Saccharomyces cerevisiae S288C: one gene and its partners. Changing the gene in region 1 together with any one later gene gives a genetic interaction. Each region holds a gene or a part of one and is shown in the gene's direction. Other genes may lie near its edges. The genes, in order: HOS3, HAT1, PTC7 and UGA2.

Evidence for each region.
Region 2: of HOS3 (region 1) and HAT1, extra expression of one rescues a mutant of the other (dosage rescue), as found in Saccharomyces cerevisiae (one study listed by BioGRID).
Region 3: of HOS3 (region 1) and PTC7, extra expression of one is lethal in a mutant of the other (dosage lethality), as found in Saccharomyces cerevisiae (one study listed by BioGRID).
Region 4: of HOS3 (region 1) and UGA2, extra expression of one is lethal in a mutant of the other (dosage lethality), as found in Saccharomyces cerevisiae (one study listed by BioGRID).

What each region holds. Positions count from the first base shown.
Region 1 is NC_001148.4:325,191-334,260, forward strand, and holds HOS3 (histone deacetylase), read left to right. Parts: upstream 1-4,415; coding exon 4,416-6,509; downstream 6,510-9,070. Other genes in the region: putative DEAD-box ATP-dependent RNA helicase DBP1, read right to left, coding at 1-1,074; mitochondrial 37S ribosomal protein bS1m MRP51, read left to right, coding at 1,438-2,472; isopentenyl-diphosphate delta-isomerase IDI1, read right to left, coding at 2,674-3,540; GTPase-activating protein BEM3, read right to left, coding at 6,910-9,070. UniProt on the Saccharomyces cerevisiae protein: Responsible for the deacetylation of lysine residues on the N-terminal part of the core histones (H2A, H2B, H3 and H4).
Region 2 is NC_001148.4:550,983-558,862, forward strand, and holds HAT1 (histone acetyltransferase catalytic subunit HAT1), read left to right. Parts: upstream 1-3,622; coding exon 3,623-4,747; downstream 4,748-7,880. Other genes in the region: lipid-binding protein LSP1, read right to left, coding at 1-675; ULA1 (Ula1p), read left to right, coding at 1,038-2,426; ESCRT-II subunit protein SNF8, read right to left, coding at 2,645-3,346; citrate (Si)-synthase CIT3, read left to right, coding at 5,395-6,855; PDH1 (putative 2-methylcitrate dehydratase), read left to right, coding at 7,403-7,880. UniProt on the Saccharomyces cerevisiae protein: Catalytic component of the histone acetylase B (HAT-B) complex. Acetylates 'Lys-12' of free histone H4 in the cytoplasm. The complex is also found in the nucleus, however it is not certain that it modifies histone H4 when packaged in chromatin.
Region 3 is NC_001140.6:246,615-254,806, forward strand, and holds PTC7 (type 2C protein phosphatase PTC7), read left to right. Parts: upstream 1-4,486; coding exon 4,487-4,541; intron 4,542-4,634; coding exon 4,635-5,611; downstream 5,612-8,192. Other genes in the region: QNS1 (glutamine-dependent NAD(+) synthetase), read left to right, coding at 1-1,723; PPE1 (phosphoprotein phosphatase methylesterase 1), read right to left, coding at 1,825-3,027; NMD2 (Nmd2p), read right to left, coding at 5,760-8,192. UniProt on the Saccharomyces cerevisiae protein: Protein phosphatase which positively regulates biosynthesis of the ubiquinone, coenzyme Q. Dephosphorylates and activates the ubiquinone biosynthesis protein CAT5/COQ7. Also dephosphorylates CIT1 on 'Ser-462', which leads to its activation.
Region 4 is NC_001134.8:245,450-253,315, forward strand, and holds UGA2 (succinate-semialdehyde dehydrogenase (NAD(P)(+))), read left to right. Parts: upstream 1-1,560; coding exon 1,561-3,054; downstream 3,055-7,866. Other genes in the region: GPI-anchor transamidase GPI18, read right to left, coding at 1-218; RCR1 (Rcr1p), read left to right, coding at 457-1,098; DSF2 (Dsf2p), read right to left, coding at 3,357-5,567; FLR1 (Flr1p), read right to left, coding at 7,114-7,866. UniProt on the Saccharomyces cerevisiae protein: Catalyzes the oxidation of succinate semialdehyde to succinate. Can utilize both NAD(+) or NADP(+) as a coenzyme, but has a 2.5-fold lower activity with NADP(+) than with NAD(+).

The sequences.
Region 1 (9,070 bases):
TACTGGGAATGTGGCGGAAAACATCAAGGTCTGTCTATTTTCCACAGAGGGCATATCACATTCTTCAACTATATGGCGAATTTGGGGTTCGAATCCCATATCTAGCATTCTATCAGCCTCATCCAATACCAGGTATTTGATATTAGCCAAAGAAACTTTTCCGCGTTCTAATAAGTCATTCAGCCGCCCTGGTGTAGCCACCAATAAGTCACAGCCGCGGTCAACCTCCCTCATCTGGTTACCGATTGGCGCGCCACCATAAACAACGCATGGCCTAACCCAAGATCTATACGTAAATTTTCTTGCTTCTTCAAAAATTTGGGTAGCCAATTCTCTAGTTGGTGCAAGTACTAAAGCAGATGGATATCCCTTTCTAGAATAAAAGCTCTGTGCTTTCTCGGGTACTGGAGAGGGCCCAGACCTGAATAGCTCCGTGAAGAGCGGAAACAAAAACCCACCTGTCTTACCTGAGCCCGTTTGTGCGCATGCCATCAAATCCCTACCTTTGGTAACTATTGGAATAGAATATTTTTGTACTGGAGTAGGTTTGGTGAAACTAGCAAGTTTGATATTTTCCATTAACAGCTCATCCAGAGGGGGAGAACTAAAATCTAGTATAGGTTCAGGAACATCTTTTCCAGATGCATCTACGGGAATATTATCGTAATTATCAAACTTTATACCAGATGAATGGTAATCGGGATCGTCGTGTACACCAAACAGTTCGGCTTCTAATTTCGCGTTCTTAGGCCCCGGTATATGCTTGCCATTTACCCATCTATTTCCAGATGATTTGTAATTTGAGCTGCCTCCGCGGTTATAGTTCGCACTCGTCCCTCCATTTCTTTCCTTAGAAAAGCCAAAAAACCCGCCATTGTTCCCAGTTTGCCTTCCAGCACGTCTGAAAAAATCACCACCCGTAACCTTATCTTCCTGTTTTGGGGTACTTCTTTCGAATGATGGTTTTCCTCTACTTCTCAAGTGCGGTGGGACATAAGATGATTTGCCGCCACCACCACCATTCTCTTTGTTGTTGATGCTTAAATTAGATACCTTCTGTGGCAAGTCTGCCATTTTTTCTTGTAATACTTTCACTCAAAGGGGTTTTTCTTAAAATATCCTTTAACTGACACTACCGATATCTTTTATAATCATGAATAATCCTTGTTATAAAATAAAGGCATTACTTCAGAGATGACCTTAAGTAACCTTCCCTTAAAATTGTTAAAGAACTCGCGGGGTAATATTTACGTTGACAGTGATATTTGTTTTGAGAAATCAAAGAATGAAGAACTTAGATGTAGAGTTAAAGGAGCAATACGAATAGGTGCCGTGATGAAGAAAAAAAATCATACAGACATTTGCTACAACCCTTGGTGAGACTGTTTCGATCATTTTTCTTTTTCTTTTTCTTTATTTTAGAAAAAATTGAACGAAATGACATTGGCAGAGTTGCTTGGACGGTCGAGAATAGCTCAAGTAGCTAACAATCATAAACCATTGACATACACTGGCAAAAAATTTCATCCAACACATCAAATCATCGAAACTAAGCCATCGACACTATACAGACAAGAATGGGGGTTGAAATCCGCTATTCCTTCGAAAATTAAATCTCGATATTTGGTGTACAACGATTTGGATACGTTGGAAAGAATTACCACATTCGAACCTAGAGGCGGTACGCAATGGAATAGGCTAAGATTTCAAGAAATGGGAGTACCAATTGTGTCTAATATAGGCAGACAAAATCCATTTTTCAAGTACATATCTCGTCCTGAGGATGAGTCTCATGCTAAATTGTCCTTATTCAAAGAAATGAAAGGAGATACAGATATTTCGCCTGCTGCTATGAAGAAGCGTTTGAAGAAGATAACAGCACTAATTAGATCGTTTCAAGATGAATTTAAAGAGTGGCTGGTGGAAAATCATCCGGATGAATTGAAATTGAATTCTAATAAGCTGGAAGACTATGTAGTGAAGTTTCTAAACAAAAAGTTGGAAACAAAAACGAATAAAAAATTTAACACTGAAATCATTGGTACAGGTGGATTATCATACAGCTTGCCAGGAAAGCTAAAAAACTCACCAAATGGTGTCATTCAAAGGACTGTAGTACCCGGTAGAATCTTGAACGTTGTTAAGGAGAACAACGACAATAAATGGCTGGCAGCTATTGGTGGGTTTGTGGCCGATGTGGTATTTTTCCAATCACCACCTAGTTCCTTTAACTCCATGGGAGATTTCATCAGAATGAAAACGTTCTTGTTCGAGATCTTGGAGGCATCTATGGAGAAAAATGGTTCTGTTTCGATGCACGCTAGATTACTCGAACCACAAAATGACAAGACCAGAGAATTTTTCAATAAGAGACCAATTTATAAACCATTGACCTCTAGAAGGGCACGTCGACCATCAGTGGGAAACATTCAAGAGGCCAATAACCTTTTGAATATAATCAAGGGAAATTGAGAAGAGAAAAAAAAAATGTGAACAATCAATGTATATTCAGAGTTCTGTAAATAAATAAAGAAAATAAAGTTTACATATTACTAAGGATTTTTGTCGCCTATTTTTACTATTTTTCAGGTGAAATGAAACGTTTTATATCACATTTTGCTATGATAACAAAGTTATTATGATTTTTATGTAGCCTATATTATTGACGCGTTGTTATAGCATTCTATGAATTTGCCTGTCATTTTCCACTTCAGAAAGGTCATCTAATTGCTCCCACCAGTTGAATAAGTAATTCTCGCAAATAATCTTAAACCAAGGCGTAAACTTGTAACTTGGGTCAGCAAACATAGTTTTCAAATCATTTGGTGAAACCCATTTGAAGTCTCTAACTTCATTGACGTTTGGGTTGACAGTCAAGTTTTCTTTAGCGTTGATCTTATAAAATAGGATGTAATCAATTTCATGTTCACCCCATGGTTCATTGCTTGGTGCCATGTAATGGATTCTGTTTAAAAAGTGAAACTTACCCCTTGTCTTAGTTTCATCTTCTGGAATACCTAATTCATGATCTAGTTTTCTCACCGCCGCAGTAATAGCGCCCTTAATCTTATCGTCTAGCTTACCCTTCAAACCTAATTCGTCATCAATACATAGTGGATGAGAGCAGCATGTGTTAGTCCAAAGATCAGGGAAAGTTATTTTTTCAGTGGCTCTTTGTTGTAAAAGTAATTCACCTTGTTCATTGAAAATAAAGACGGAGAATGCACGATGTAGTAAACCCTTTTCAATATTTTCCATTAAATGACAAACTTTCTTGGTACCGGCACCAATAGCATTATCGTCCCAATCCAAAACAATACAATTTTCATTCATTAACTTAATTTGCTCCTCATCATGACCAGAAAAACATGTTTCTCCGCTTTCGTCATTTGACGTCTCACTAGATCGGGTATTAGGTCTTTGTTGTAATGGAATAATTTCAGGAAACTCTTCCAAAATGTCTTCAGGTGTTTGGTTTTGCACTAATTTGGCGTAACTAGATACTGCACCATGGGGCATACTATTGTTGTCGGCAGTCATTGAGGTGTAATGAATTTTTGGCTTATTTTTACTCTTCCTGTATTCCAAATACGAATACTCTAATATTGAATTAAGTGGGATATACGCCTTCTTGTCACTAGAAAACTGTTTCCTGTTAAATAGATAAAAATGAATAAATAAATATAAATGGAGTTAAGACCGAAAAAGAAAGGCAACCCCCATCGACAAGAAAAGAGTTATGAATAATCATGTTTCTTAATAACAATTAAAGGGAAAAGAATCGGCTGGGCATCGTCATTGCGAAACTGTTGACTGGAAAAATTTCAATCACAATTAAGTTTTGTCCATTTCGTTCCAGCAAGAACGGAAACTTTTACCGATAGCAGCGGAAAAAAAGAAAAAAGAAAAAAAAAAGAAATTAATATAGGCAAAATAGCCGCATGAAGCCCTTAATAACCTATACTATTCTGTGACTGTTATTTATTTACCCTCGTAATATTAAAAATGTCCTATACAATTTCTGTAATAAAACCTAATTTTTTTAGGACCCTTGAGTGTTACCCTGCTCATGTTTTTATTTTTGTTTTAGAGAAATGTAAACAACAGTTTGGGAAAGTTTCAAGAATTGTAAACAACTAATCAAGGGATAATACTATTTTACTCTTTCCTTTAAACATGAAGAACTATTTTTTGTTTACGTTTTTTTCTGAATTGAACAATAAGATCTTGTTAATTTTTTTATCGCTTGATCTATTATCAGATCTTCTCTTTTGAAAAACTAGTCCTTTTCCAAATTACAAACTTTCTTTTCGTGTGGAGTTGATCAGTTCAGTTTCTCCAATACTTCTTAAGTCACTGAAAATATAACGAAAAAAAGGGCTCTGGAAGTAAACAGAGAAATTCGACGATATAATATGTCTTCCAAGCATTCAGATCCATTGGAGAGATTTTATAAGCAATTTCAAGCATTTGTTCAAAATAACCCTAATGTCATATCGGCAGCTCGAGCTGCCGCACAAATACCGGAATCTGCAAAAGCTGTTGTAGTACTATCCCCATATTCTTTACAGCATGTGTTCCCGAGAGAATGGGTAACAAAATCGTATAGGAAAACTATAGTCGAACGACCAGAAAGATTATTAGCAAGCTCGATGGGTATATCAGCTGCGATTACAATGTATCCATCCCTTTTCACCTTGAAATCCTCGCATCAAAGGAAAGGTTCATTGATGGCACCTCATGTGCTTAAAGTTCATGGCAGTAGCTGGCCGGCTGAGTTAATTGAACTTTGCCAAATGGCAGATGCTAAATTGCTAAAAGGCGAAATCGAAGTCCCAGATACTTGGAACTCAGGTGATATATACTTGAGCTCAAAGACAATTAAAGCTCTACAGGGAACAATTGGGGCCATTGAAACTGGTGTTGACTCAATTTTCAAAGGACCATCTGCAGAACATATTAGTAACAGAGCTTTTGTTGCTATACGGCCTCCTGGTCATCATTGCCACTATGGTACACCATCCGGCTTTTGTCTGTTAAACAATGCACATGTAGCCATAGAATATGCGTATGATACTTACAACGTCACGCATGTTGTCGTGCTTGATTTCGATCTACACCACGGTGATGGGACCCAAGACATTTGCTGGAAACGTGCGGGTTTCAAACCTGAGGAGGAACCTGAAGATTCATCTTATGATGATTTTGGTAAGAAATTTGCCGAATTTCCCAAAGTCGGTTATTTTTCTATGCATGATATAAATTCATTTCCAACAGAGTCGGGATTTGCCACAAAGGAGAACATTAAAAATGCATCTACCTGTATCATGAACTCTCATGACCTAAACATCTGGAATATTCACTTATCCAAATGGACAACCGAAGAAGAATTCAATGTATTATACAGGACAAAATATAGAACTTTATTTGCTAAAGCAGATGAATTTTTCAGGAGCGCAAAACTAGAAATGAATCAACAAGGGAGACCATTCAAAGGTTTGGTTGTCATAAGCGCAGGTTTCGATGCATCAGAATTTGAGCAAACTTCAATGCAAAGGCATAGTGTCAACGTTCCTACAAGTTTTTATACAACGTTCACCAAAGATGCATTGAAATTAGCACAAATGCACTGTCATGGCAAAGTTTTGTCTCTAATGGAGGGTGGATATTCTGATAAAGCTATATGTTCTGGTGTTTTCGCACATTTGATCGGTTTACAAAACCAAGATTGGGTTAAAGAATGGGGGTCTGAACAAGTCGTTAAAGAGATTGTTCGTGGTTGCAAACCGGCTTGGAAACCCTATAAGACAAAAAGAGCAAAAGATGTCATAAGAATATGGGCAGAAGAAGTTATCAGGCTGGGACGAGCAATGATACCGGAATTCGATGATATCATTTTTAAAGACGCAGTTAACAGCGCACCTTCTAATTCTCTACTAAAGGCTACTGTCGAACCAGCATCCACGTCGACAATTGCTCAAAGAATAATCAGATCTCATAGAAGCAACGCTTCCCCAGAAAAAGAACTTCATGAAAACAAGCCGAGAAGCACGGAAAAACAGGAACAAAGGGAAATTAGAAGCGATACCAAGGTCAAGCAGCTCTCGTCAAATAATAGAGCAGCTGAAACCCAAATTCCGTTTTTGCAACAAGAATTTTCCAGTGAGGATGAAGATGAAGAATACGTTTACGATGAAGAATTGAACAAAACTTTCAATCGCACGGTGGAGGATATTACCATTGATGATATTTCTAGACATTTGGAGACCTTAGAAATTGAAAAAAAAGGTGATGAAGATTCAGACCATGAGCTAAAAGAAAAAAATTGGAAAAACTCGCACCAACGCCGTCTACAAGGTAATGGAATGTATAAAATTCCCTCCAATACGAAACCGCATCGCATAAGACAGCCTCAAAACGCAAATACACCAACTTATGACGATAGTGATATATCAATGATTTCTCATGTTTCAAGAAAACATACAACAAGAAGTGGTGGAAGATGGTGATACCAATGCATATATAATGTTGTCTTGAACCCACTAAAGAAGTGACGCATATATTACTTTTTTGTATTTAGTAACACAATTTTTCTATTTTTATATTTCCTTGTATAGTTAGTAATTTTAATTTTTTTCCTTCTTTATCTCAGCTCTTCGACCATTTGGTCAAGAAGTTAGTTTTTTTCTCTTATTTTATTTGACAATATACTAATTTTATTATATGGTATTGTAAATAACATTTGAGGAATAAAAAGACAGTCACTCTATAAGCTTTATCAGCCTGACATTTTTTTATTATTACAAATATATCGTTGAAAGAAAGAAGCCTCTATACATCTCGCCCTCTTTCTATCATTAAATCAATGGAGGTTTACTGGCAACGTTATATTTCTACAATTTTAGACCATCAAACCTGAGGAATATGTATATCTACTTTCTCCCTTTCCTCTTCTTTAACTGGTTCACCACCCTGAAATATACACGCAAAGTCAGTGATGAATGGTTGAAGCATACTAATTGGAATATTTAGAGTTGGGGAAAACACGATGCATAAATTTCTTAGATTCATCTTATTAAACTTACTATTCTCATTGATCCTTACCAGCAGTTCAAAAAGAGCATACATCAACGATAGGTTAGCGTGAGGAACTAGGCCAGATTCAATAAGTTCCTTAAACCCCAATGATATTTGAACAGGATTATTATGATTTTCATCAACTACTCTTTTAAACGACAAAAATTGTTCGTCACCAAATAATAAATGGGGCAACTTTCTCAAGTACAACTTTAGTAACCCACTTACAGTATTCACACCAATGTAAAGACTTGGAGATGCCTCATCATCTTTAGCTTCAATACTTTCATTGTACCGACATAAATCTACATCGTACTCTTTATCAAACCTTTCTTGTAAAGTTTTGATAACTGTACTGGACCCGCTTAGTCTAAATATGCCTTCTTCCTGGATACCACGGTTTTTGTAAAGATACTCTAAGCAACGATAAACTACACTCGGTAAATCGTAAACGTTTTGGTACTTATGCGAACTCAATCTTAAACACGTTTCTAGTGACGAGCCAAATATTGCAGTGGACACATGTGGACCCGTAGAAGAATTTGACGAAGAGGATACTTCCATTAATTTTTTGCTTGGTGACTTAATGATAGAGTCAGGAGATGTTGGAGAATCCGAATCATTTGAAATTGTAATACCTATATGGTTCATTGCACTCGCCGGGCCGGTTAATTTTTTAAAAGGGAATAAACTTCTCATTTTGGCTCTCCTACTATCCTTCTCCTCCTCTGCATTCCCGCTTGAACTTGCTAGGAAGTTAGAGTGAGAAGATGGGTTTGAGTCAATACCATCGCTATTAGCAATGTTATTGCTACTATTACTAATATTGTTATTATTATTATATTCTTGGGTCAAATCAGTGACATATGATGGAGTATCGGTTGCTGAGATAGTTGCGTTTCCAAATTTAGAATGGTGTGTTCCTGCGCTCAAGTGAGATGCAGAATCAGTATCGTTTGCATTCCTCGAGCTAGATAACGATAAACTTTGTGAAGGATCAATGTAATCACTAAACGCAGAAAGCCATAATTCACGTTCCTTCGACGTTTCAGTACAAATATAATACTTTGTTGAGGTTGACAGTCCGCTTTTCTTATGCTCAGTGATCAAAAACCCATTTCTCGTTCCAAATCTATCTTCAGGGAGATTGGGTATAAGTTCTATAGAAGATTGTCTCAATTTAATAGTTTCAGTCAACTGATTTTTGTCAAACAATTGTAAAACATCATCGCGCAAAATACCGTACCGAACTCTCCATGTACTATTACCTGTTAGAGTCTTTGGTCTTCTCAGCAAAAGTGATCCGTCTTTCACATTATCATCCATCATTGGAGGTGTCATTACTGTATCTGTACTAATAAATTGGGCGATTTTTAAACCAACATTTTTGGGAAATTCAGGGACACTGAATATGCTTGTATAATACTGATTCAATATGTTCTTTCGCGTATCCACTTTTGTAGGTGATAAAGTCTGAAATAATTGTCTATCAGGTAACGTGGGCAATGGTAAATCGGGAACATGTGATTTCATATATACATCTAATTCGCGAACTTTATGAATAGATTTTGAAAATTTAAACATCTCCTTACCGGATTTCCTGTCTATGATTGCAATTAAAATGGATAAATCATCTTCATTATCCCTGTACAATGTGCTCAGTACTTCAATCTGGATAGTGCCAAAATCCTCCGGTTGAACGAATAATGGAATATCCGACTTAAGACTTTGGGCCACAGACTTCACGGTGCTCACGCTACTTGCATGAGGTCTTCTAAGTGTCTTCAACGAACCTTGGGGTGTTGAGCTAAATGTATTCAAGGTATTGGTTGAATGGATGGATGCCGTTTCTCCAAGTTGTTTTTGTTTTGATGAACTTTCCACGGGAGGATTTGGAGGAAGAGAAGCATTTTGACTTGTTGTTGACAATTTTGTAGAAAGATTGGGGAGTGATGAAGTTAACACAGGTTTCTTTAAATTTTTTGCACTTTGA
Region 2 (7,880 bases), 230 kb from region 1:
CTCCAATAAGGCCTTTCCGTATCCAGCAATCAGGGCAAATTTTTCAGAAAGCTCTCTTAATGAATCAAACATATAACTATAAGCAGCCTTTAATTTTTCACGTGTGATATTCGATAATTGAGCCTCCGCAACCAAAGATTCAGCTTCGGCACGAACTAGTTCTTGCTCTAAAACTGGGATTTTTGTTGATTGAGGATCTTTATATTTCAAATGGGCAATTTCATCTGTGATCTTTTCCTTACGATCTCTCGAAGGTTGAACAGAGGCTTCAATGTTCCTAATTGATTTTAATGTGACTCTGTATTGATCATATTTATCGATGAACTGGTCCTGTAGTTCACCCAACTCATATATTAAGACGCCTAATTTGTCGGTTACGTCGGAAACATCATCATCATTGTCAGCACCCCATAGAGACAGTTGCTTTGCAGCTTCACGGCGTTCGCTGGCAACAACTTCCATAGCTCTAAGGACACCTTTTTCAGTCTTAACCAATTGAGATAATTTACGAGCCAACTCTGGCCCAAAGTTACCAGCCGCATTTTTTCTAAAACTAGACGCAATAGAGGCCTTTCCGAAGAACTTGGACTTCGTTGAGGATGGTGGTGGTGGAGGAGCTTGTAGCTCAGCAGCCGTTGGAGCTCTTTGATTTCTTAAAGAGTAAGTTCTGTGCATTCTTGTGTTGGAGCTTTGAAAGTTTAATCTTTCGTATACCAAATAAAGAGAATTTACGGTCAAGCATTGGAATTGAGGAAAGAGGTTAACTGATTTTTTTCTTTTCTATCTCACCTGTTTATATATTGCGATTTAGCCGTTGCATCTTCCCGGTTTTTCCGTCTTTTTTTTAAAGGGCCCCTTTTTATCCCCTCTAACGCCTTTCGCAATCCCCTTTTCACTCGGCTGCAACGAGCGGGGTTGTAAGAGCTAAGCTTTCTAGCCTAGCAATGAAATAGAAGGACAAGTCAGACGATTGACGTCAAAAAAATGAGTCGCCTCTCTTTCTTTCTTAGGCCAACTAGACAGCCGTAGATGAAAATATGGAAAGATATGATAGACAGCTGAGACTATGGGGAGCATTGGGCCAAGATAGTTTGAACCGGTCCCGTGTGTGCGTGGTAGGACCTGCTACACCTTTGCTGCAGGAAGTTTTTAAGAATCTGGTGCTTGCCGGAATATCATCTCTTACTTGGCTCAAAGTAGAGTGTGCAGTTCAATCGGGTTCTCTGTTTTTAGCAGAGCTTAAAAAAGATCTTGAGCCATTGGCTTCTAAACAGCTAGAATATGAGGAAAATGACCTTAGAAAGACGTTACAGCAACCTCAGTATGATTGGACCCGCTTCTCGGTGGTGATCTTGACTTGTATTGGTGAGCAAACTGCGATGCTCGATTTAAATGAGATTAGGCGGCAGAGAGGAACAAAGTTTCCGCCTGTTCTAAACACTTTCGTCTCTGGATTTTATGGATATATATATCTGGTACTCTCAGAAACACATTTTGTTTTGCAAGCACACCCAGATAGTAAGAAGTATGATTTACGGTTACAGAACCCTTGGCCTGAACTAATAAATTACGTAGATACATTTGACCTAAGTAAAATGGATACAGCCACGTTTTCTGGTATTCCATATACTGTTTTGCTCATGAAGTGTATTGCAAAACTTGAAAGGGATGGTAATAATGGGAGGATAACGATTGATCAGATGAAGAAAGTTTTAGACCAAATTTGCCTTCCTTTAGGGAATGATGTTATCTACGAACCCAATTATGTGGAAGCTAAACGCTATGCTTACTTGGCCTGCTCTCAAAATGATTGTTGTAAAGAACTGGAAGATCTGCTCCGAAATTTGGAAATATCAGATTATGGGAACGATTGGCATGATACTTATAACTACGAGATTCTCACACTATTATTGACTTTGAAAAATATTGCTAAAGAGAATGGGGAGCTCAGCTTTCAACCTTTAACGGGCACTCTCCCAGATATGGAGTCAACAACGGAAAATTATATCAGACTCAAGAAACTGTATGAAGTAAAAGCAAAGCTTGACAAGTCTCGTGTGGAGGAAAGTTTGGCTCGCAGTAAAAAAATAGTTTCACAGGATGTCTTGGAGACATTTTGTTCTCATTACGGGGAGGTCAGGAAAATATTGCCGCCAAAAAGTGACTTGTTAGGTATTTTTAGCACCTCGAATGCCCTTTTAGATGCATTAGTTATGGTCCAATTCTGGGAGCAACCGGCAGTAACTGCAGAGGATAAAGATGAGTTTATTGGTTTACGAGTCGACGATAACTATTCCGTAATGGCCTTTTTTGGAGGTGCAGTGGTTCAAGAGGCTATAAAGCTTATCACACACCATTACGTTCCTATTGATAACCTATTTTTATATAATGGCATTAATAATTCATCCGCAACATATAAAATATAAAATTTTTTCGTCAGCTCTCCGAGTTCATAGAATGCTTATTTTATTGTACTTCCCTGGTTTGCGTTGATGCAAATAAAGACTAAATGTAAACTTTTATGATGCATATGATATCGAATGTTTACAACAACGAGAGATCACCGGTAAGAACTGTGCTCAATAAAATACAACATCGATAAATACTTAACGCTCATCCACCATTCCTGTTCAAGTCAACTATCTCACAGTTGCCTCGTAATCCAAGAGGGATCCCAATACAACGCCTCTGCACCACCTTGATAATCAATCCACAATAAACCGTTAGCGACCATTTCATCAAGAGCAGATTTACTCCTAACAGCCTCCCATCCCAAGTTTGCCTTTAATAAAGAGATACTTGAGTAGCCCAGAATTGAGCATATTTCCAAAATCTTTGTTTGATCTGATGTCAACTCATTTGGAACACTTCGTAAAAACTTTTTGCCGCGAATTTGAAATATCTCAAAACACTCTAGGCTCTTTAGCATGTCGATAGATTTTTCCAAATCATCGAGTCCAACATTCAGCTTACGAAAATGCACCTTCTCCAACTCTTGAAAAGAAATGACGCCTCCATTCATATCTTTAGTTTGCCGACAAATTTCTATAACTTTAAGACATACTTCATAATAAAAATCATTCACTGTAAATAAGTGCTTATCTCGATCAAATAAAGATAGGGGATCAATCCCAATAGATGAGCACATATGCATGAATTTTGAGCGGAATTCAGGTGAAGCTTGAAGCTCGCTATTGTGTTTCTTGGCAAATTCTACCAGTCGTTCTTGGAATACCATTAATTGGTCCCTTAGTTCGACAGATTGCTTTTCAAGTATGGTTTTGTTTACGTCATTGTACTTTCCATCCTTCAACTCGTCAAAGGCTGCCAGTCCAAACTGTTTCATGTTAGTGAGTTTCGAAGTTGGCTGTTACGCCAAGCATTTTCAAGTCGTGGTAAAGTCTTTGGTCTACTGCATCGCCTCAAAAGGTTATAATATATCCCAGAATTGATGGATTAAGTTCTTGAAATAGCACACCGTTATAAGTGATAAATATATTGTCTTCGAATAACGAATTTATTAGATTTCTATGTATTTCTACTTGAAGTTAGGAATAGATCTTTCTGGAATTGTTTTCAGCAAAATTATGCTTAAGCTATAACTATAGTGAGAATCAAGAATATGTCTGCCAATGATTTCAAGCCTGAAACGTGGACTTCAAGCGCCAACGAAGCCTTAAGAGTTTCTATAGTTGGAGAAAACGCTGTTCAGTTTTCACCATTATTCACGTATCCAATTTACGGTGACTCCGAAAAGATCTACGGCTATAAGGATCTCATCATCCACCTAGCATTTGATTCAGTAACATTCAAGCCGTATGTTAACGTCAAGTATTCAGCAAAATTAGGAGACGACAATATTGTAGACGTGGAAAAAAAATTACTCTCATTTCTACCAAAGGATGATGTAATTGTTAGGGATGAAGCTAAATGGGTAGATTGCTTTGCAGAAGAACGAAAAACACATAATTTATCTGATGTTTTTGAAAAAGTATCAGAGTATTCGTTGAATGGGGAAGAATTTGTTGTATATAAATCGAGTTTGGTTGACGATTTTGCCAGGAGAATGCATCGTCGTGTTCAAATCTTTTCATTACTTTTTATCGAAGCCGCTAACTATATAGATGAGACTGACCCGAGTTGGCAAATCTATTGGTTGTTGAACAAGAAAACAAAAGAATTGATTGGTTTCGTCACTACTTACAAGTATTGGCACTACCTTGGAGCAAAATCTTTCGATGAGGATATAGATAAAAAATTCAGAGCCAAAATATCTCAATTTCTGATCTTTCCACCTTATCAAAATAAAGGCCACGGATCCTGTCTTTATGAGGCTATAATCCAATCTTGGCTAGAAGACAAAAGTATTACTGAAATTACTGTAGAGGATCCAAACGAAGCATTTGACGATCTTCGCGACAGGAATGATATTCAAAGACTGCGAAAACTTGGTTATGATGCTGTCTTTCAGAAGCACTCCGACCTTTCTGATGAGTTTTTGGAGTCAAGCCGAAAATCTTTAAAACTGGAAGAAAGACAGTTTAATCGTCTTGTGGAAATGCTTCTTCTTTTAAACAATTCTCCATCATTTGAATTAAAGGTAAAGAATAGGTTGTACATTAAAAATTATGATGCCCTAGATCAAACTGATCCAGAAAAGGCAAGAGAAGCTTTACAAAATTCATTTATTTTAGTCAAAGATGATTATAGGCGTATTATAGAGTCGATAAATAAATCTCAAGGTTAACTGTTTATTAAATATATAATAACATATTTATTTGTTTAACAAGCCTGAAATAAGAAATTCTTTTATAAATACATCATCGAGATGATCATCAAAGTGTCTCTATAGTTAATATAAGCTTATGCAAAGGTTGAAGCCGTTATGTTGTCGTAATTCTAAATTACAGGTTATATTAAAGAGATTATCTTGACTGATATAAAATTTCTTATCATGGTAGTGATCACAAATAGATCACATGATATATTTTTTATTTTTAATTTTTTTTAATTATAAAAATAATTTTTTTCTTTAAATTAAACAAAAATAAAAAATTGTTTTTTGTTGGTTAAGATTTCCGAAAATAGAAATATTATTCAGTTGAAAGACAAAAAAACATAAATATTTCTATGAGCAAACAATTTGAACAGAAAAATAAAATTGGGGAAGTGACACACCATGGTAGCGGTTCTAAAGCGAAATCGGCAAAGCGGCTAAATAGCAGTTTTGATGACTTACTCCACACTGAAAATGGATGACCTTAAATAGGAGATAAAGCTTTTTCATCCCTATGTATTTAAGATGACTGGCTTGTCAAGCATTCTAATCATAAAAAAAAGATCGTATTTGATCAAGAATTTATACATAGACGCCGCTAAATAATTGAATACAAAATGGTACAAAGGCTTCTACCGGGCGCACATATATGCAGAAGGTCCTTCAATTCGTCTGCAATTATAAAGTCTTCTGCATTGACTCTCAAGGAAGCATTAGAAAACGTGATACCTAAGAAAAGAGATGCTGTGAAGAAATTGAAGGCCTGTTATGGCAGCACGTTTGTCGGACCGATTACCATTTCATCAGTTCTAGGTGGGATGAGAGGTAATCAGTCAATGTTTTGGCAAGGAACATCATTAGATCCCGAACATGGCATTAAATTTCAAGGTTTAACGATTGAAGAATGTCAAAATAGATTACCTAATACAGGTATTGATGGCGATAATTTCCTGCCAGAATCAATGTTATGGCTGTTGATGACAGGTGGTGTGCCAACTTTCCAGCAAGCTGCTTCTTTCAGGAAAGAATTGGCTATTCGTGGAAGGAAATTGCCACATTATACAGAGAAAGTTTTGTCAAGTTTACCCAAAGATATGCACCCTATGACCCAACTTGCAATTGGTTTAGCATCAATGAACAAAGGATCCCTCTTTGCTACAAACTACCAAAAGGGCCTCATAGGAAAGATGGAATTTTGGAAAGATACTCTTGAAGATTCGCTAAATTTAATTGCTTCACTCCCGCTGCTGACTGGGAGAATTTATTCGAACATTACAAATGAGGGACACCCATTAGGTCAATATAGTGAGGAGGTGGATTGGTGTACAAACATATGTTCCCTGCTCGGCATGACAAATGGAACGAACTCTTCTAATACATGCAACCTTACTTCCCAGCAATCCCTGGACTTCATAAACTTGATGCGGTTATATACCGGTATACATGTAGACCATGAAGGTGGTAATGTTTCTGCTCACACCACCCACTTGGTTGGAAGTGCGTTGAGTGACCCGTATCTCAGCTATTCATCTGGAATAATGGGATTAGCGGGTCCTTTGCATGGGTTAGCAGCACAAGAAGTAGTAAGGTTTCTCATAGAGATGAACTCTAATATTTCCAGCATTGCACGAGAACAAGAAATCAAAGATTATCTTTGGAAAATTTTGAATTCAAACCGTGTGATCCCCGGTTATGGGCACGCAGTTTTGCGTAAACCGGATCCTCGATTTACAGCAATGCTTGAATTTGCGCAAAAGAGGCCTATTGAATTTGAGAACGACAAGAACGTTTTGTTGATGCAAAAATTGGCAGAAATAGCGCCTAAGGTTTTGTTGGAACACGGAAAGAGTAAGAATCCATTTCCCAATGTTGACTCTGCATCGGGGATTTTGTTTTATCATTATGGAATCAGGGAATTATTATTCTTTACCGTCATTTTTGGGTGTTCAAGGGCCATGGGACCCTTGACACAACTTGTTTGGGATCGCATTCTAGGTTTACCAATTGAAAGGCCCAAGAGTTTGAACTTGGAGGGTCTGGAAGCACTTACCAAAGCAAGCAATGTTAACAAGTTGTAACGCAGTTCCAATTTACAAGAATGCTTCGTTTGCTATTACAATATTGAAATATAAATAAAATTCCATACAGCATGTCTAATCATAGCTAATTTATACATATTCATCATGAAAACATATAGGGGAAAATATGGTCGGTTAACACACCTATCAAAAAATTATTCAGCAATTCCAATCTCGTTAGTAAAATATATTCTTATTTTTTTTTTTTTTCTCTGATTGTATTATTTCTGGAGTTTTGACTTATTTTTTTACCACATCGCGCTTTTCGTCCCCAATCTCTCTGATATATGATGCTGTCTATAGGTAGCCACTTCCCCGATGTCGGACCTCGGGCCGTTTACAAACTTTATTGAGATGACCTTATTTCTCCACATTCTAGTCATTCAACTTTTACCCTCATATGTTTACCTTCACTAATGTGAAAGCATGACCAAAGAAAGTGTATAAGGTATATAAATCTGCCATAATGTATGTATAACTTATTAGGACTTTCTCAAATAGTATTTTGGTATTTTCTACTGTTCTCTGATGATCGAGAGCAAACAGAATGTTTTTAGCCAAAAATCTAAAAAATAATAAAATCAAGGTATGCTTGCCTAAAAAGAAATTTGCTGCGCTGAGTACAGCGTCTATACAAACTAATGAAAGACCAAATCCAGATAAGGTTTTGAAGGACATCGCGAAATATGTCCATGAAACCCCATTAAAATCATCTTTGGCTCTAGATACAGCACGACTCTGTTTCCTTGATACTCTAGGCTGTGGCTTGGCGGCTTTGAAATTTAAGCAGGCTCAAAATATTATTAAACCAATTGTGCCAGGAACAATAGTTCCCAGTGGAACAAAAATATTGGGCACATCTTACGTTATGGATCCAGTGAAGGGAGCTTTTGCCATTGGTACTCTAATACGTTGGTTAGATTACAATGACTGCTGGTTAGCTGCCGAGTGGGGGCACCCATCAGATAACCTTGGGGGAATTTTAGCTGTCGCGGATCACTTGTCCAGATTAAACAAGGCTACCC
Region 3 (8,192 bases), on another chromosome or scaffold:
TATCCTTCCACCTGAGATTCAGAAAGTTACCGGCCAGAGACTTGTGCCATTTGGGGACGCTGTGATAAATTCATTGGATACATGCATTGGTACAGAAACTTGTGAAGAATTGTTTACACCTCAATCCCCCCACATCGCCATGTCTTTAGATGGTGTGGAAATCATGACAAACTCATCTGGTTCTCATCATGAACTGCGTAAGTTAAATAAAAGGTTAGACCTAATTTTAAATGCCACTAAACGTTGTGGTGGTGTTTACTTGTATGCAAATCAAAGAGGTTGTGATGGTGACAGATTATATTATGATGGCTGTGCACTAATTGCCATCAATGGTACAATTGTAGCCCAAGGTTCACAATTTTCGCTAGATGATGTGGAAGTAGTTACTGCTACTGTGGACCTAGAAGAGGTGAGGAGTTATCGTGCAGCTGTCATGTCTCGTGGCCTACAAGCCTCCTTGGCAGAAATAAAGTTCAAGCGTATTGATATTCCTGTAGAATTGGCTTTAATGACCTCCAGATTTGATCCTACAGTGTGTCCAACAAAAGTCCGCGAGCCTTTCTATCACTCTCCTGAGGAAGAAATTGCACTGGGACCTGCTTGCTGGATGTGGGATTATTTAAGACGTTGTAACGGAACAGGGTTTTTCCTTCCCTTATCTGGGGGCATTGACTCTTGTGCAACTGCAATGATTGTCCACTCTATGTGCCGTTTAGTGACCGACGCTGCTCAAAATGGAAATGAGCAAGTTATCAAAGACGTTCGTAAGATAACACGTAGCGGCGATGATTGGATTCCAGACAGTCCACAGGATCTAGCCTCAAAAATATTTCACTCCTGTTTCATGGGTACGGAAAATTCATCCAAGGAGACAAGAAACAGAGCAAAGGACCTTTCCAATGCAATTGGATCTTACCACGTGGATTTAAAGATGGACTCATTGGTATCCAGTGTGGTGTCCTTATTCGAAGTAGCCACTGGCAAAAAACCAATATACAAAATATTTGGGGGATCTCAAATCGAGAACTTGGCTTTACAAAACATCCAGGCGCGTCTAAGAATGGTTCTTTCTTATCTTTTTGCGCAACTGTTGCCGTGGGTTCGTGGTATCCCAAACTCGGGTGGATTGTTAGTACTTGGTAGCGCAAATGTTGATGAGTGCTTACGTGGGTATCTAACAAAATATGACTGCTCCTCCGCAGATATCAACCCTATTGGGGGTATTTCAAAAACTGACTTGAAAAGATTCATTGCCTACGCATCAAAACAATATAACATGCCAATCTTGAATGACTTTTTAAACGCTACACCAACTGCAGAATTAGAACCTATGACTAAAGATTACGTTCAATCGGATGAGATAGATATGGGGATGACGTATGAAGAATTGGGCGTGTTTGGTTACCTAAGAAAGGTTGAAAAATGTGGTCCTTATTCTATGTTCTTAAAACTTCTTCATCAATGGTCCCCAAAGTTAACACCTCGTCAAATATCTGAAAAGGTGAAAAGATTTTTCTTCTTCTATGCCATCAACAGACACAAGCAAACTGTTTTAACTCCTAGTTATCATGCTGAACAGTATTCACCAGAAGACAACAGATTTGACTTACGTCCTTTCTTAATCAACCCAAGATTTCCATGGGCTTCAAGAAAAATTGATGAAGTTGTCGAGCAGTGTGAAGCACATAAAGGCTCAACGCTTGACATTATGTCTATTGATTAGCACAGAAGAAGTGCTCACAGCAAAATAAGACTTTTCCACGAGTTCATATATTCTGTTATTTATTCTATCATAAATAAAGATATAAAAGTGATATTTAACCCTTATGTATTTTGCACGGTTTTGTGTTGACCCCAATTAGTCTTGATTACTACATTCCTAGAATCGTTCCGCTTCCAGAAATCAATTAAAGTGATTGCTGTTTTTATAGGCGAATCTTCTTGAATGAAATGCCCGGAATCTTGGAAAACTACCAACTGATATTTACCTTGCATTTGCCCCACAATTAATTCTTTATCGAGATTTTCGTTTCCCGCCAATATTAATAATTTACTAACAGGTAAGCCAACAAAGGAGTGCGACAGATCGGTAAACCATGTGTCCCAGAAAGGGCTAAAGGTCTTAAGGTTTGTTATCCTGACAACTTTCCCTGACTTGAGCGGAGCAAATAAAGCTGGTATAGCAATTTCGGCGCTTGACCTCAATCTCGATAACGCGTGTTGAACGTGCCAATCGACAGCGTCATTAATTGATTCAAATACATTGGGTGTATTCTGCAAAAAATGTTCAACTTTATTTAAGGCCATAATGGCAGCCTCTTCTACAATATCTAACATAGTAATACCAAGAATTTTCTTTTGTAGTTCTGTTGATAATTTAGGGTACGCAAAAGTACATATACTTCCACCAAGGGAATGACCAATTAGTATAACAGATACCTTCTGAAGTGGCTCTTGGCTTATTTTAGACTTAAACCAATAATTTAGCAGGCTTACAAAATCTTTGATAAAAGAGTCCCTGTCAAAGCATATAGGCGCATCAGCCTTCTTAAACTTTGTTTCTGCATGCCCCCTAGCATCAAATGCAAAGCATCCGCATCTTCCTTCTAGTTTAGTATTTAATTCCTTGGCCAAGTTTGCAAATGATAAACCTGAGGAGCCCGCCCCATGGTGGAAAATAAAGATGGGAATTGAAGTGGTATTTGATAACAATGAAGTAGGTAATGTATAGTATGTATTTACGTCCAGATCTCTATCAGGAAGACTTACCAACTCCTTATTATCAAAAAAATCACTCCAAGTGGGTAAACTACTCTTTTCCTTACTTGAAATTCTATCAGTAGTACTACCGGTTTTGCCCGTATATTTTCTGTTCCTATTTGATTGTCCATTAAATGATGGCAGGGAACCTAATGCATCACCATCGTTTTCATCATCCTCGTATGCTTCTTGGAATGTCGCATCTAGAACATTCTTGGCTCTCTCAAACTGGGATAAAGCAATTTTTCTTCTCAAATCGTCAGACATTGAAAATTTGAAAATGTCCTACCGTTACTACCAGTTTGTTGCCGTATTTTTGACTCTTTGTTGAGCATTAGTTGATCATTACCGCTGCAGTCAGTTAATGATATCCCTAAATAGGCATATTGTACAATTTCAAATATATTACCCGAATTACAAGAACAATAGGGTCTTCTACAATATTACTATGAACAATTCATAGGGGAACATAGTCCACTTCAATGTCGGTGCCAACGATTCTATTTGTTGTAAGTATATATGCTGTTTCCCGGCAATACTTTATATTGGGGGAATTTTCTGGAGGTTTAAGGGCATATTACTACGTCAAGGCTGGGATTGACCTTCTGGTATATATTACGTTGCGCAGGACATTCCTTATACTTGAGCCTTTGTAAAAACTTCTTCGTTCTCCTGACCAACCGTTCAATTATGTTGTGAATTTTTTGATCCGAGTTTGAAACATCCAAATTCACAAACAAACCGTTGTCATCCTGAGTTGGCGTCGGCCATTGAGCTTCCTCTATGTGTTTTAAATCTTTCATTTTAAGAAATCTAAGTAAGGAAATTGTTTCTCCACATGTGTACCGTATAAAGTTCTTGTTATGAATTAGAAGGATTATCACAAAAGCCCTCCATCAAATCTGATAATTTCATTACCCAAAGACTGTAATACCTTGGGTGTAAAGATCGTATTTTTTGATGTCTTCGTGATATTTTGCAGATCTTTCCATTTTATAAATTTCTGCAAATATCGTGCATCAGCTCATCTTGGAATTGGCACAATCTGCGTAATTTTTTTCTTGGTTCTCTTCTCCTTTTGATTTTAAGAGCGCTTTCTATTCAGTAGCAGATTTTCAGTAAATAAAGCCATCTTTCTCAAGTAAACTCATGATCATGCAGTTGTTCAAAATTACACCAATAACGATGTTATCTTTAAAACTTTCCCCAGAAAGAAGATGGCACTTTTGCACTAAATACTTCAAACTATTTAACTTTGAAGCAGGACATATTGCCGGTTATTTGACCATGCTGGCGCCGTTGACATTCATGTAAGCAGTATTAGCTTTTAAACTGCCATTAACGCACCTATACGATTGCGGCGGTGCGAAAACAGTAACTAGCACTCTTACGGCTCATTGTTTCCTCTATCCAAAGTTGCCTATATCACAATAAAATTAGAAATTAATCATTTTAATAAGCTTGCTGCCATTCAGTGACTCGCAATCTACGTTTTAAACGTAATTTAAAAATCCACTTCCACCTACATATTTTGCAACAGTCGTACGACAGAAACTGAGGCTCTATAAAATGAGATGTGCTAATTGTTCTTTCTTGGCTGGTTTCAGCTACATCTTTCTGTAATCAATCTACAAATTTACACGCGAGCTTCATTTTGACAGTAAACAAATGTAAAAGACACATGCAATAAAAGCGGTCCAGAAAACAAACGACAAAGCCACCAAAAATGTTTGCAAACGTTGGATTTAGAACTTTGAGGGTCTCGAGAGGTCCCCTTTATGGTATGTTTATTGTTTTATTCATTGGTGTGCTAATTGCTAAATTTGCGGGACAAATGCTAATCGACTCAGAGACTAACTTTTCTCATATCATAGGATCCTGCAGTCAAATCATCAGCTTTTCCAAGAGGACTTTTTACTCAAGTGCCAAGAGTGGGTATCAATCGAACAACAGTCATGGTGATGCGTATAGTTCAGGTAGCCAATCAGGCCCGTTCACCTATAAAACCGCGGTAGCTTTCCAACCAAAAGACAGAGACGATCTGATATACCAAAAACTAAAGGATTCTATTAGATCACCTACAGGAGAAGACAACTATTTTGTTACATCAAACAACGTTCACGATATTTTTGCCGGTGTCGCAGACGGTGTTGGAGGATGGGCTGAGCATGGGTATGACTCCAGCGCCATCTCAAGAGAATTGTGTAAAAAAATGGACGAAATAAGCACTGCTTTAGCAGAAAATTCATCCAAAGAAACGCTTTTAACGCCAAAGAAAATTATTGGTGCTGCATACGCAAAAATTAGGGATGAGAAAGTAGTGAAGGTTGGTGGGACAACAGCCATTGTGGCTCACTTCCCATCTAATGGAAAATTGGAAGTTGCCAACTTGGGTGATTCTTGGTGTGGAGTCTTCAGAGATTCTAAACTTGTATTCCAGACAAAGTTTCAAACTGTTGGATTTAATGCTCCTTACCAATTGTCAATCATTCCAGAAGAAATGTTGAAAGAGGCCGAAAGAAGGGGTAGCAAGTATATTTTAAACACCCCCAGAGACGCTGATGAATATAGCTTCCAATTGAAAAAAAAGGATATTATTATATTGGCTACCGATGGTGTAACCGATAATATTGCCACAGATGATATTGAGCTTTTTCTGAAGGATAACGCTGCGAGAACAAACGATGAGTTACAGCTATTATCCCAGAAGTTTGTGGACAATGTTGTCAGTTTAAGCAAGGACCCCAATTACCCCAGTGTTTTTGCGCAAGAGATTTCTAAGCTAACTGGCAAAAACTACAGCGGTGGTAAAGAAGACGATATAACTGTTGTTGTCGTGAGAGTTGACTAACACTCCGCTCTTTAATCTCCTGGAAAGCAGTGTAAATAAAAATACAGCGTCATAAACGGTACTATATAAACACGTAGCCATTTAATAGAGCCAAACATAAGTGGGCATATATAGTAAAAATTTAAAGAACTATATTCGCAAAAGAATCTCAGTCGAAAGAACGTTTTAAAACAATCTTTTTAATCTTGTTTCGCTCGGTTTTTAGTTTCTCTTCTTCTTCAAGGACATCAGAGACAAATTTCACATCCGTTGGTAATTGTAAAATTCTTGATTGTGTCTTCTTACCGCTTTTAGTCAAGAACGTAAATGCAATCTTCTTTGGCTTGGATAACTCTTCGTAGGTCTCCTTGCTTGAAGAAGGTTCTTCACTCTTTTTTAATAATAAAGGTTTTTGAACGCTGACTGGCTTCGAAATTACTGGAATTTTACTGGCAACAACCTTTTCGCTTTTCCTTGCGTCTATGGATTCTTGCATCATTTTCTGAAATTGCCTTTCCAATTCTTCTTCCGCTTTCCTTTCTTCCTCATCCTTTAGTTTTCTCTCGTACTCTTCATACATTCGTTTCATTTCAATATCTCTGTCTGCGTCAAGATCACCACCATACTCCAAATCAGAGTCGCTGTCTTCTTCTTCTTCATCATCATCATCCTCATCATCATCATCTTCATCATCATCCTCATCGCCTTCTTCTCCATCATCATCATCATCGTCATCGTCATCGTCATCATCCTCGTCATCGTCCTCATCGTCTTCATCTTCACTTTCGTCTTGCTTTGCCTGATGTTTTCCTGGCGCTGACTCTGTGTTCGGTGTACTTATCTCCGCGTCTTCATCTTCTCCTAGTAAATCGACACCATCGTCGTTTTCATCATCTTCATCCTCATCATCTTCGGTGATTGACTCGATAGGAACAGCACTCTCCTTACCGTTGTGAATGCTTGCAGAAGATCCCTTCACTCTGTCGTCTTTACTTTTTATTGCGTTTAATGATTTCAGTAAACTTTCCAACCTTGAGGCACTTTCTACCAAATTTTCTGACCTTTCAAATTTAGTGTTTCCGAAAATATTCTCATATTTTTTAAATGTGCTTGAAACTCTGAATTCTGTTTCCTTGGGTAAAGGTTGTTCTTTAATAAAAGTATAATACTCGAAAAACCTCAGCAAAAGTTTGCATTTCTTAGTAAAAGCTGCAGGGGTCCTGTTGATATTTAACAGAATTGTAGTGACTAGTTGAATCCTGAAATAATTATCCGGTGGATCTGAGTAGTTTAAATAAAATGGATTGGGTTGATTGTTGATATGACCAAACCGAATAATGTGGTAGATAGTATCTAACAAAACATCGGATTTTATCATTTCAAAGTTGAATATTTCAGTTAAGTATCTGACATTTGATATTCTATGCATGTTTTGTCCATAATCGTTAATTTCTAAGCCTCGCTCAATGTTTTCCAGTACTTGGTCTATACATCTGATGACGAAATCGCGGCGGTAACTGTATAGACCGCCTAGAACTTTTGTTAATAAGGGAATATTTTGATAGCTAATCTTATGTGGTTTTGAAAACAGAGAAAACAGCACTTTCTGAATAGCTACATCGTCCCAGTGAGCTTTCCGAACCAACTTGACAATGTGTTTGAAGTCTAGGCTACTTAGTTCACTTCTAATTAATATGCGATAAAACTGTTGTTCAGGCGTTATTGTTTTTACCGTAACATTTAATGATTTTACAGAAGGGGGATAAAGTAAAGTAATTATGTTTTCTAAGGCGCTTTTCATGTTCATGTTCAATTGCCTATCATTTTTTTTATCCTTGATTAGTTGGACCATTTTTTCCATTAATTCCTTATATTCTGGCTTATTTAGCAGAAATTTCCCTGAGTGCTCCAACAAAACCGTCAAAATTTCTACGTTATTTGGAACTTGCATATACATGATTAATGTTCTAATCTTATGAAAAATCATAAACGATGGTATTAATTGAAATTTAATCATTTCACTGAAGAAGATGATGTTTTTAACGTTAATCTTATTAGAATGTAATTGACTCCTGAAGCCATTGTCTAGGTAGTTAATAAACTCAGAAACAATTTCCGGCATATATTTGCTATTTGTTGCAATAAATCTGGAATACACTGGCAGTTTGCTCCAATCTTGTGTTTCCATGAAAAATTTCAATATTCGATTTCTTGTGGCTTTGTTGTCCAAATATGATGACCAATATCTATTTGAAAGGTCATCGATTATATCTTTACAATCTGCCATTTCCAAATCCGTAAAGAATAGATTGATATTTTTTGAGTTAACGTTTGAATCTTTTTCTGTTTTAGAAGATTGTGATTCTTCTACTGTTTTTGAGATATCTGGTAAGATTTCATAAAATTTCCTTGTATCTTCATTTTCCCATAATCGTTGGTTGGGTGGCAATATCTGATTCGTGATCATTGGAGAAGCTGTTTCTTTCAGATCATCATTAGAGGCACCTTCAAGCTCCGGAATTTCTAACTTAAAAAATTCTCCCAAAGTAATTGCAGATGTCTTGAACCTAATGAATATTGGAAGTAACTTGTCGTACTCCTC
Region 4 (7,866 bases), on another chromosome or scaffold:
TTGGAAGTTATGTTCTTGATAAAAAAAACACTGTCCCATGATAGTAGCTTATTCCAAAAATACTTGTTCCAATAACTGTTGATTTCAGAGGGAGAAGAACATAATTCGTTTAATAAAAGTGATGTTGATGTATCAAACTGCCTAATTGGAGTCAAAAAAACCAGTAAATACTGTATTGAACGGAATAATACAAAATAAAGTGTCAACCCCACAATCATATTTTAATTTAGTCTTATTCCGCCTCCTCTCTCGAAGCCTCTCTTTTATGTCTTTTTTCGATGATGAGGCTTACTTTTTTTTTCAACTAAGCCTTGAAAAAAAAAGTTTGATTTAAAAGGGATTTTCTATTTTAAGTATTTAAATGACCGACAGGAAGCTCATGCAGAAAAGGCACCTGTAATAGCTTATTGATCATTCCAATAAATAGGAAAGTATAACTCGAATTAAGAATAAGGAATGGGACTTATTTCATACGAAAATGAGGCGATAAACGAGGTGAAAAAGGCAGATAACCATCACGTTAGCAAATTTGTGACTAGTTACTATGGGCCATCATCGTCGTCATGGCAGTCAGGAATATGGATTTTGTTTGTGCTGTTTGTTGCCGCAGTAATCCTTATAATACTGTTCACTTTTGTAGCGAACAGAAGGAGACGAAGGATGGGGCGTGCTCCCATTAGAGGTACGGCATGGTTGACACCGCCTTCATACAGACAGTCTCAGCAACAATATACTGGGACCGTTCAGCAACGGACAGATGATTATGTTCCTGAGTATACAGAAACAGCGAACGAACATGATCTTGGATACTATGACCAGCGGGGCGAGTTTCACCCCAACGATAAGGCTGCATACGTGGCCCCCCCGCCATTGGTACAAGAATGTTCATCAGAATCTGTTAATTCTTTAGAAAGACCTCCCGCTGCTGTAGTTCACCAAGCTAACTCTTTAGATACGGATTACGGTTTAACAAGGCCTAGCAATGGGCGCGTTCCAGCTGTAAGTGATACGGTGGAGCAATTGGAAAGGCTTCCGGGCGGGACTACAACGCAGGAAATTAACCCACCGGAGAGGGCAAAGGTAAATGCAAGGTCATGAACTGAATCTTTTTTTCCGGCTGTCCTCTTACAGTTGAGTTACAATATTTTGCCAGAAATATTTACATTTTTTTACCCAATCTCTATAATAATTATTTTAATTCCTAATCCGCTTCAGGCCCGCGGTCGTTGAAGTGCTATAGTTTATATTCAGTACATTGTCTTTAATCTCTCAGTATTATTTTATCAATAGTAAATACTTCAAGTCCATCGCACGGCGTGGTGGTGATAAAGGGAAAATGCGCGCGGGATTAGCAAAGGCGGCCAATGGATTAAGGGTGACAAGATAGCACCACATCACATCACATCACCATCAGTAATGGAGAGGAAATAGGGTATAAATACTCGTCAGAGATCAATAGATATTATTTCGCAACGTCCTTTATTGTTCTGTTCTTATTTGATCAATTAAGCTAGAAAACCAGCTACATTAAAAGCAAATTTTACAAACTACTATTTCAACATGACTTTGAGTAAGTATTCTAAACCAACTCTAAACGACCCTAATTTATTCAGAGAATCTGGTTATATTGACGGAAAATGGGTTAAGGGCACTGACGAAGTTTTTGAGGTGGTAGACCCTGCTTCCGGCGAAATCATAGCAAGAGTTCCCGAACAACCAGTCTCCGTGGTTGAGGAAGCGATTGATGTTGCCTATGAAACTTTCAAGACGTACAAGAATACAACACCAAGAGAGAGGGCAAAGTGGCTCAGAAACATGTATAACTTAATGCTTGAAAATTTGGATGATCTGGCAACCATCATTACTTTAGAAAATGGTAAAGCTCTAGGGGAAGCTAAAGGAGAAATCAAATACGCGGCTTCGTATTTTGAGTGGTACGCCGAGGAAGCACCCCGTTTATATGGTGCTACTATTCAACCCTTGAACCCTCACAACAGAGTATTCACAATTAGGCAACCTGTTGGTGTATGCGGTATAATTTGTCCATGGAATTTTCCGAGCGCCATGATCACGAGAAAGGCCGCCGCTGCTTTAGCTGTGGGCTGCACAGTAGTCATCAAGCCAGACTCTCAAACGCCGCTATCTGCTTTAGCAATGGCATATTTGGCTGAAAAGGCAGGCTTTCCCAAGGGTTCGTTTAATGTTATTCTTTCACATGCCAACACACCAAAGCTTGGTAAAACATTATGTGAATCACCAAAAGTCAAGAAAGTTACTTTTACTGGTTCTACAAACGTCGGTAAAATCTTGATGAAACAATCTTCTTCTACTTTGAAGAAACTGTCTTTTGAGCTGGGTGGTAACGCCCCTTTCATAGTCTTTGAGGATGCCGATTTGGATCAAGCCTTGGAACAAGCCATGGCTTGTAAATTTAGGGGTTTGGGTCAAACATGTGTGTGCGCAAATAGACTTTACGTTCACTCATCCATAATTGATAAATTTGCGAAATTACTCGCGGAGAGGGTCAAAAAATTCGTAATTGGCCATGGTTTGGACCCAAAAACTACACATGGTTGTGTCATTAACTCCAGCGCTATTGAAAAAGTTGAAAGACATAAACAGGATGCCATTGATAAGGGAGCAAAAGTTGTGCTTGAAGGTGGACGTTTAACTGAGTTAGGTCCTAACTTTTATGCTCCAGTAATTTTGTCACACGTTCCCTCAACAGCTATTGTTTCCAAGGAGGAGACTTTTGGTCCATTATGTCCAATCTTTTCTTTTGATACTATGGAAGAAGTTGTCGGATATGCTAATGATACTGAGTTTGGTTTAGCAGCATATGTCTTTTCTAAAAATGTCAACACTTTATACACTGTGTCTGAAGCTTTGGAAACTGGTATGGTTTCATGTAATACAGGTGTTTTTTCGGATTGTTCTATACCATTTGGTGGTGTTAAAGAGTCAGGATTTGGAAGAGAAGGTTCGCTATATGGTATTGAAGATTACACTGTTTTGAAGACCATCACAATTGGGAATTTGCCAAACAGCATTTAAAGCAATAGTAATCGTGGACGATACTTAGAATTGAATATGATTCTTTGTAATGATTGTATATATCTATTGCATGTATAAATACTCTACTCCTCGTATATAGAAAGTTAAGTAAATTTTTTGAAAGAAAAGAGTTCATATATTTACGGAGTTTTGAAGTTTTTCACAAGCGGAATAAGTGATACCATTCATAAAATATCATATCTATCTATCTATCTATTTTTGTGAGATATATGGTACGAAAATAAATGCCTTTCCTTTTAAGCCTTTCTGTAAGCTTTTATGTATACAACGTTTCTTTATCTTTATTTCGGACCTTGTTTCATGTACTTTTCCTTATAAATCCAATCTGAACCTAATAGATTTGCACCTTTTTTATCGGCTATCCTAAACCATGCAGCAGCTCTGGCGAGATCCCTTTTCTTTACGTTTGAAGTTTTGGACCAAATTGTCCCGCTTAAGCACATTGAGTCTACATGGCCTAATAGAGCAGCTTTTTCCAAAAATTTCAAACCTTTTCGCTCGTCGGGATGATCCATCCCAAGACCCTTTAAATATGCCATACCACATTCGTACAAGGCAGGTGCTGTTGGTTCAGGCGCTATATCAGGGATATCGTCCATTGAAGCAAAATTTAACGGATTTATATCTAAATCAAGAACCTCAGCAGCAAAGGATTTGATATCAGTGGCAGCCATTAAATATCCTAATGATAATTTCAAGTTCTTGTCCACTCCGCAGCCATGTCGCAGGGCTAGTCCATATAACAGAAACGCAGTTTTGTTTCCGCACGCGCAGGCTTTTTTCAGTCGTTGTGCAGATTCTTCAAGTTTGCCTTGATGACGCATAGTAATTGCCTGTCCGATGTGTGAAGATTCATCATTATCATAAGGTTCTGGGTGAAATTTAAGCTTCCCGCACTTGCTTGTTGCGTTCGATCCTTCTTTTTTATGACTGAAGGAATCCATGCATTGCGTCGAATTATTGGGCAACATACCATCTAAAGAAAGTGTTCTTCTTCTAACTTTCGGGTGGTAGGGCTTATTTGATTGTTCTGTTAGTGCACTTAGTTCACCTATTTTTGAATCTTTTTCCGTTGTATGGAAATCCGAGAAAGTTCTCAAATGAGTCCTATTTGGACGTGCTTTACTGTTCTTTTTTTTATCCGTGGATGACTGAGGTGTTGATGCTGTTTTAAAATGGAAAACTGGGTTTGGAGGAAAAATATACCTAGCTAAATGTGGACTGGAATTATTAATGGTACTTGAAGTAGATGGAAGTTGAATATTCTCCCCAGAGAAGTCCAATGAATTGGTGGCAGACCGGATAGGGCTTGATCCTTCAGACTCAAGGTCTTTCTTATTTTTTGCTCTTGTCCTAGGAGATTTAAAAAGTTTTTTTAGCGAATTTAGTGACGTTTTTTTTTTATGAGCTTTATATGGTGGCGTTGGAGGTAATGAAATATCATTTGTCATGGTATTTGTTTTCGTTATCGTCGAGGTAGAGGAATTAGACCGTTTAGGAGATGGTTTGATGGGTGTTGTATCACTCTTAGTTAACTTGAGTTTGGAGAATGAGGATGATTCACTTTCAAAAGAAGACTGAGTTTTCGGCTTTGATAGTTGTCCAACTTCAGAAAAGGAGGTGTTGGTGCTTGTTGAACTTCCGTTCCGATAAAGACAATTACTCTTTTGCGTGGTTGTGAACTCATTGGGGCAACTCTGCTTCTCGGATATTCTGTCAGTTTTTGTAGATGTATTAATATTATTACTAGTAGTTCTGTTATTCTTACTATTAGCATTATTGTCAACGCTAGTATTATTGTCTGATATCAGCGTAGGATAAAGATGGTGCAGTCTAGTATTTTCAATCCTATATTTCTCGAAGTTGAAAGGATTAGGGCTATTTGTGCTTCTATTGCCATTTTCAAGGTTTGGGTACTTATAATCTTTCTCATTTCTATTCATTTGGGGTTTCATGCCACTAAAAGTCTCAGAGTCATAATCTTCTTCGACGATATAAGAGTATCTCGACTTCACGGGCAAATGCCTTTCCACTTTACCGGAAGAGTATTTGCCTCTCAAAGTGGAATCCTTTTCTTTTAAATTGTCTATGATAAGAGAACGATCTCTAGCTTGTATATATGTTGGAGAGGGATTAGTTCTATACCTTAATGAAGGGAATTCCGACGCAGGCATACATAATGTTGGACCACTTGTTTGTGACAGTTGCGAATTTCTCGACGCGTTTTCTTCTTCTAATAAAGCTTCTTGCAGAATCAGTTCATCTTCCAAGCTGAGGTCTAATTTGTCAAGAAGTCTTTCCGTGGTTTGAATAGATTCGAATGAAATGCTACTTTTATTTGAATGAGCATAGCTAAATTGTGAATCCATTGATGACTCGAAGCTATTATTGGGTGGTGGGCTTTGTGAAACCTCTGAAGAGTTAGCTTTTCTTTCTTGATCGTCGCTTCCTATTCGATCAGCCCAAGAAGTGTTTTTTAAATTTTGATTCATTACTTTTCGTGTGACGTAAAAGTCCGTTTGTTTTTCTAGATTTTCTGTTTTTTCTCGAGGCTCCTACAAGTTCCACCTATATTTAGCATTGAGGAACAGAATGTGCTATCGCAAAGAGCAATGGCAACAGAAAAAAAGAGTTGCTAAAGAAGAACTATTTTTGAATGTCCGTGGTAATACAATGGAAGACTACTAGAACACGATGGCAGATAAGGTGATTTGATAATCAAATTCAACGACGGTTGCACCGTTGTTCTTTCTGCCGCTCTTCGTCCGGAGCCTTCTGTGATAATTGTTTTAACGCGCAGAAACACACGCAGGCTGCGTAAAGGAATGGTGGGGCTCGAAGAAGTGACAGTGGGTGTCCACGGAATGTTCTGAGCGCAGGGATCCGGTGTTGCCATCGCACACGATATGAGACGCGTTCATTTTTTCCAGCAGTCACCTAAAAGTTCAAGAAACGCTATGTTGTAATGCAGCTGTATTGTACACTGGCTGGTATTGCCGTTCTGATCTATGACTTACTTGTTAGAGGTAATAGCTGTCTTAGATCGGCTTGCTTCTTCTGACTTCCTTCTTTTTTTTTTTTTTTTCGAAGTGAGGCATGCTGCAGTTTTGTGCAGCTTCTCTTGCATCACTTCCTGTATTATTTACGTTGTTTACATTATCAGGTATTTTGTATTATTTTTTGCGCAACAGCAAGCAAACGCAATAGCGATAAATGCCATAATATAATCAAAATTTAGCAAGGATACATAGCAGCAAACCCGAACCTTTAGGCCTCTCATAGATGAAGAAAATTTGTACAATTCTTTTGGTTCTTTGGCTCTTCAAATATGAATTTATTAAGAGGAAATCCTGAAGCATCAGAACATCGCAAACTTTTTATTCGCAAGAGGATTTATCCTCTGATTAGTTATATATGAATATGTGTTCCTTCTGCATGATTTTGATATCAATAGTATGCATTTTTTTTCGATTCGTCGTAGAAACATAGCTACTCTCATGACCAAATGACTCTTTTTGGCTTTGACAGTGGAACAGCCAAGTTTTTATGTAGAAATATATTATCTGTTAACTGGAAATGATGTCTTAGGCCCATAAAATGTGCTAGAACGTATGGCTAATCCTTTTGCTCTGTATTCAATTGAGTATTTTGCTTAATTTCTATTTGATAATTGAACTTCTTACGTGTATAAATGGTTGCATATTTCTTTAGTAAGTACTATTTTCAAATATGAGTGAAGGATATTGTGGCTCAAGTAATTCCTCTTTCTTTTTTCATCCGTATGGTAAGCAAAGGGTCACAAAGTAACCGATAGTGTGTAGACCTTAGATCTTCCTTCAAAGATTTCAAGTCTGCGATAAATAAACATGAGAATACTTGCAACAACAACTTTTATAAACAATGAAGTTCATTATGAACAGTATTTATTTCACTGCTAAACTTTACGTAAACTTATGTGGAACATCTTTGTCGACAGATGGACGATAAGTAAAATTGTGTTATTATAATTCAAATTTTCATGGTAAGAACATCGGCTTTCTACTCCTCTGTGTACGAAGATCTTGTACGTAATGATGGCCCATACTTATAAAGTATAAACGGGATAATAGCTAGACCTAAAGTTAGGAACCCCACTAAGGACGAACCCCATGCCACAGGATAGTTCTTAGTAGCTAAATTGTCATACATTGCTCTACCAAACAACGGAAAAGCACAGGCAAACGAAGCCCGACAAAAACCATTGCCTGCAAAAACGGATGCAACATACTTTGGGTAGCATGTAGCCAAATATGCAAAAGTTGCTTGGAAAATGTTAAAGACAGCTAAAACAAAAAAAACTTCCGAGATAACTGGCAAAATCCAATGCACTCGAGCAGTCCAACCAAATAAGAACAAAGACAGAGGCAGGCACCAGCAGACACACATTGCCACGATTAAAAAAGCTTCCGGGGTGAATGTGCCGTTTCTAAAACGTGGTACAATAATCCTCATGTTTAAAATACCGAATAAGCCATAAGCAAGTACGCACCCTACGCAAAACCCCATATAGGCCAAGCCAACTTCAACTAAGCTGAAGTGGTATATACCTACAAATACAATAGGGAATGCTTCAAAGAATAAGTAGAAACAACCATAAGCAACAGCGATATAGAGATCAAAAGCCAAAATTGCAGGCTCTTTGATAATCATTTTGAGAGGCCTATACAAAGTATTGATCAAAAAAGTTCTTGCATCAACTTCTCTATCGAGTTTATCCTGTTCAGTATAGTACCTGTCATCACCAGTTTCTTT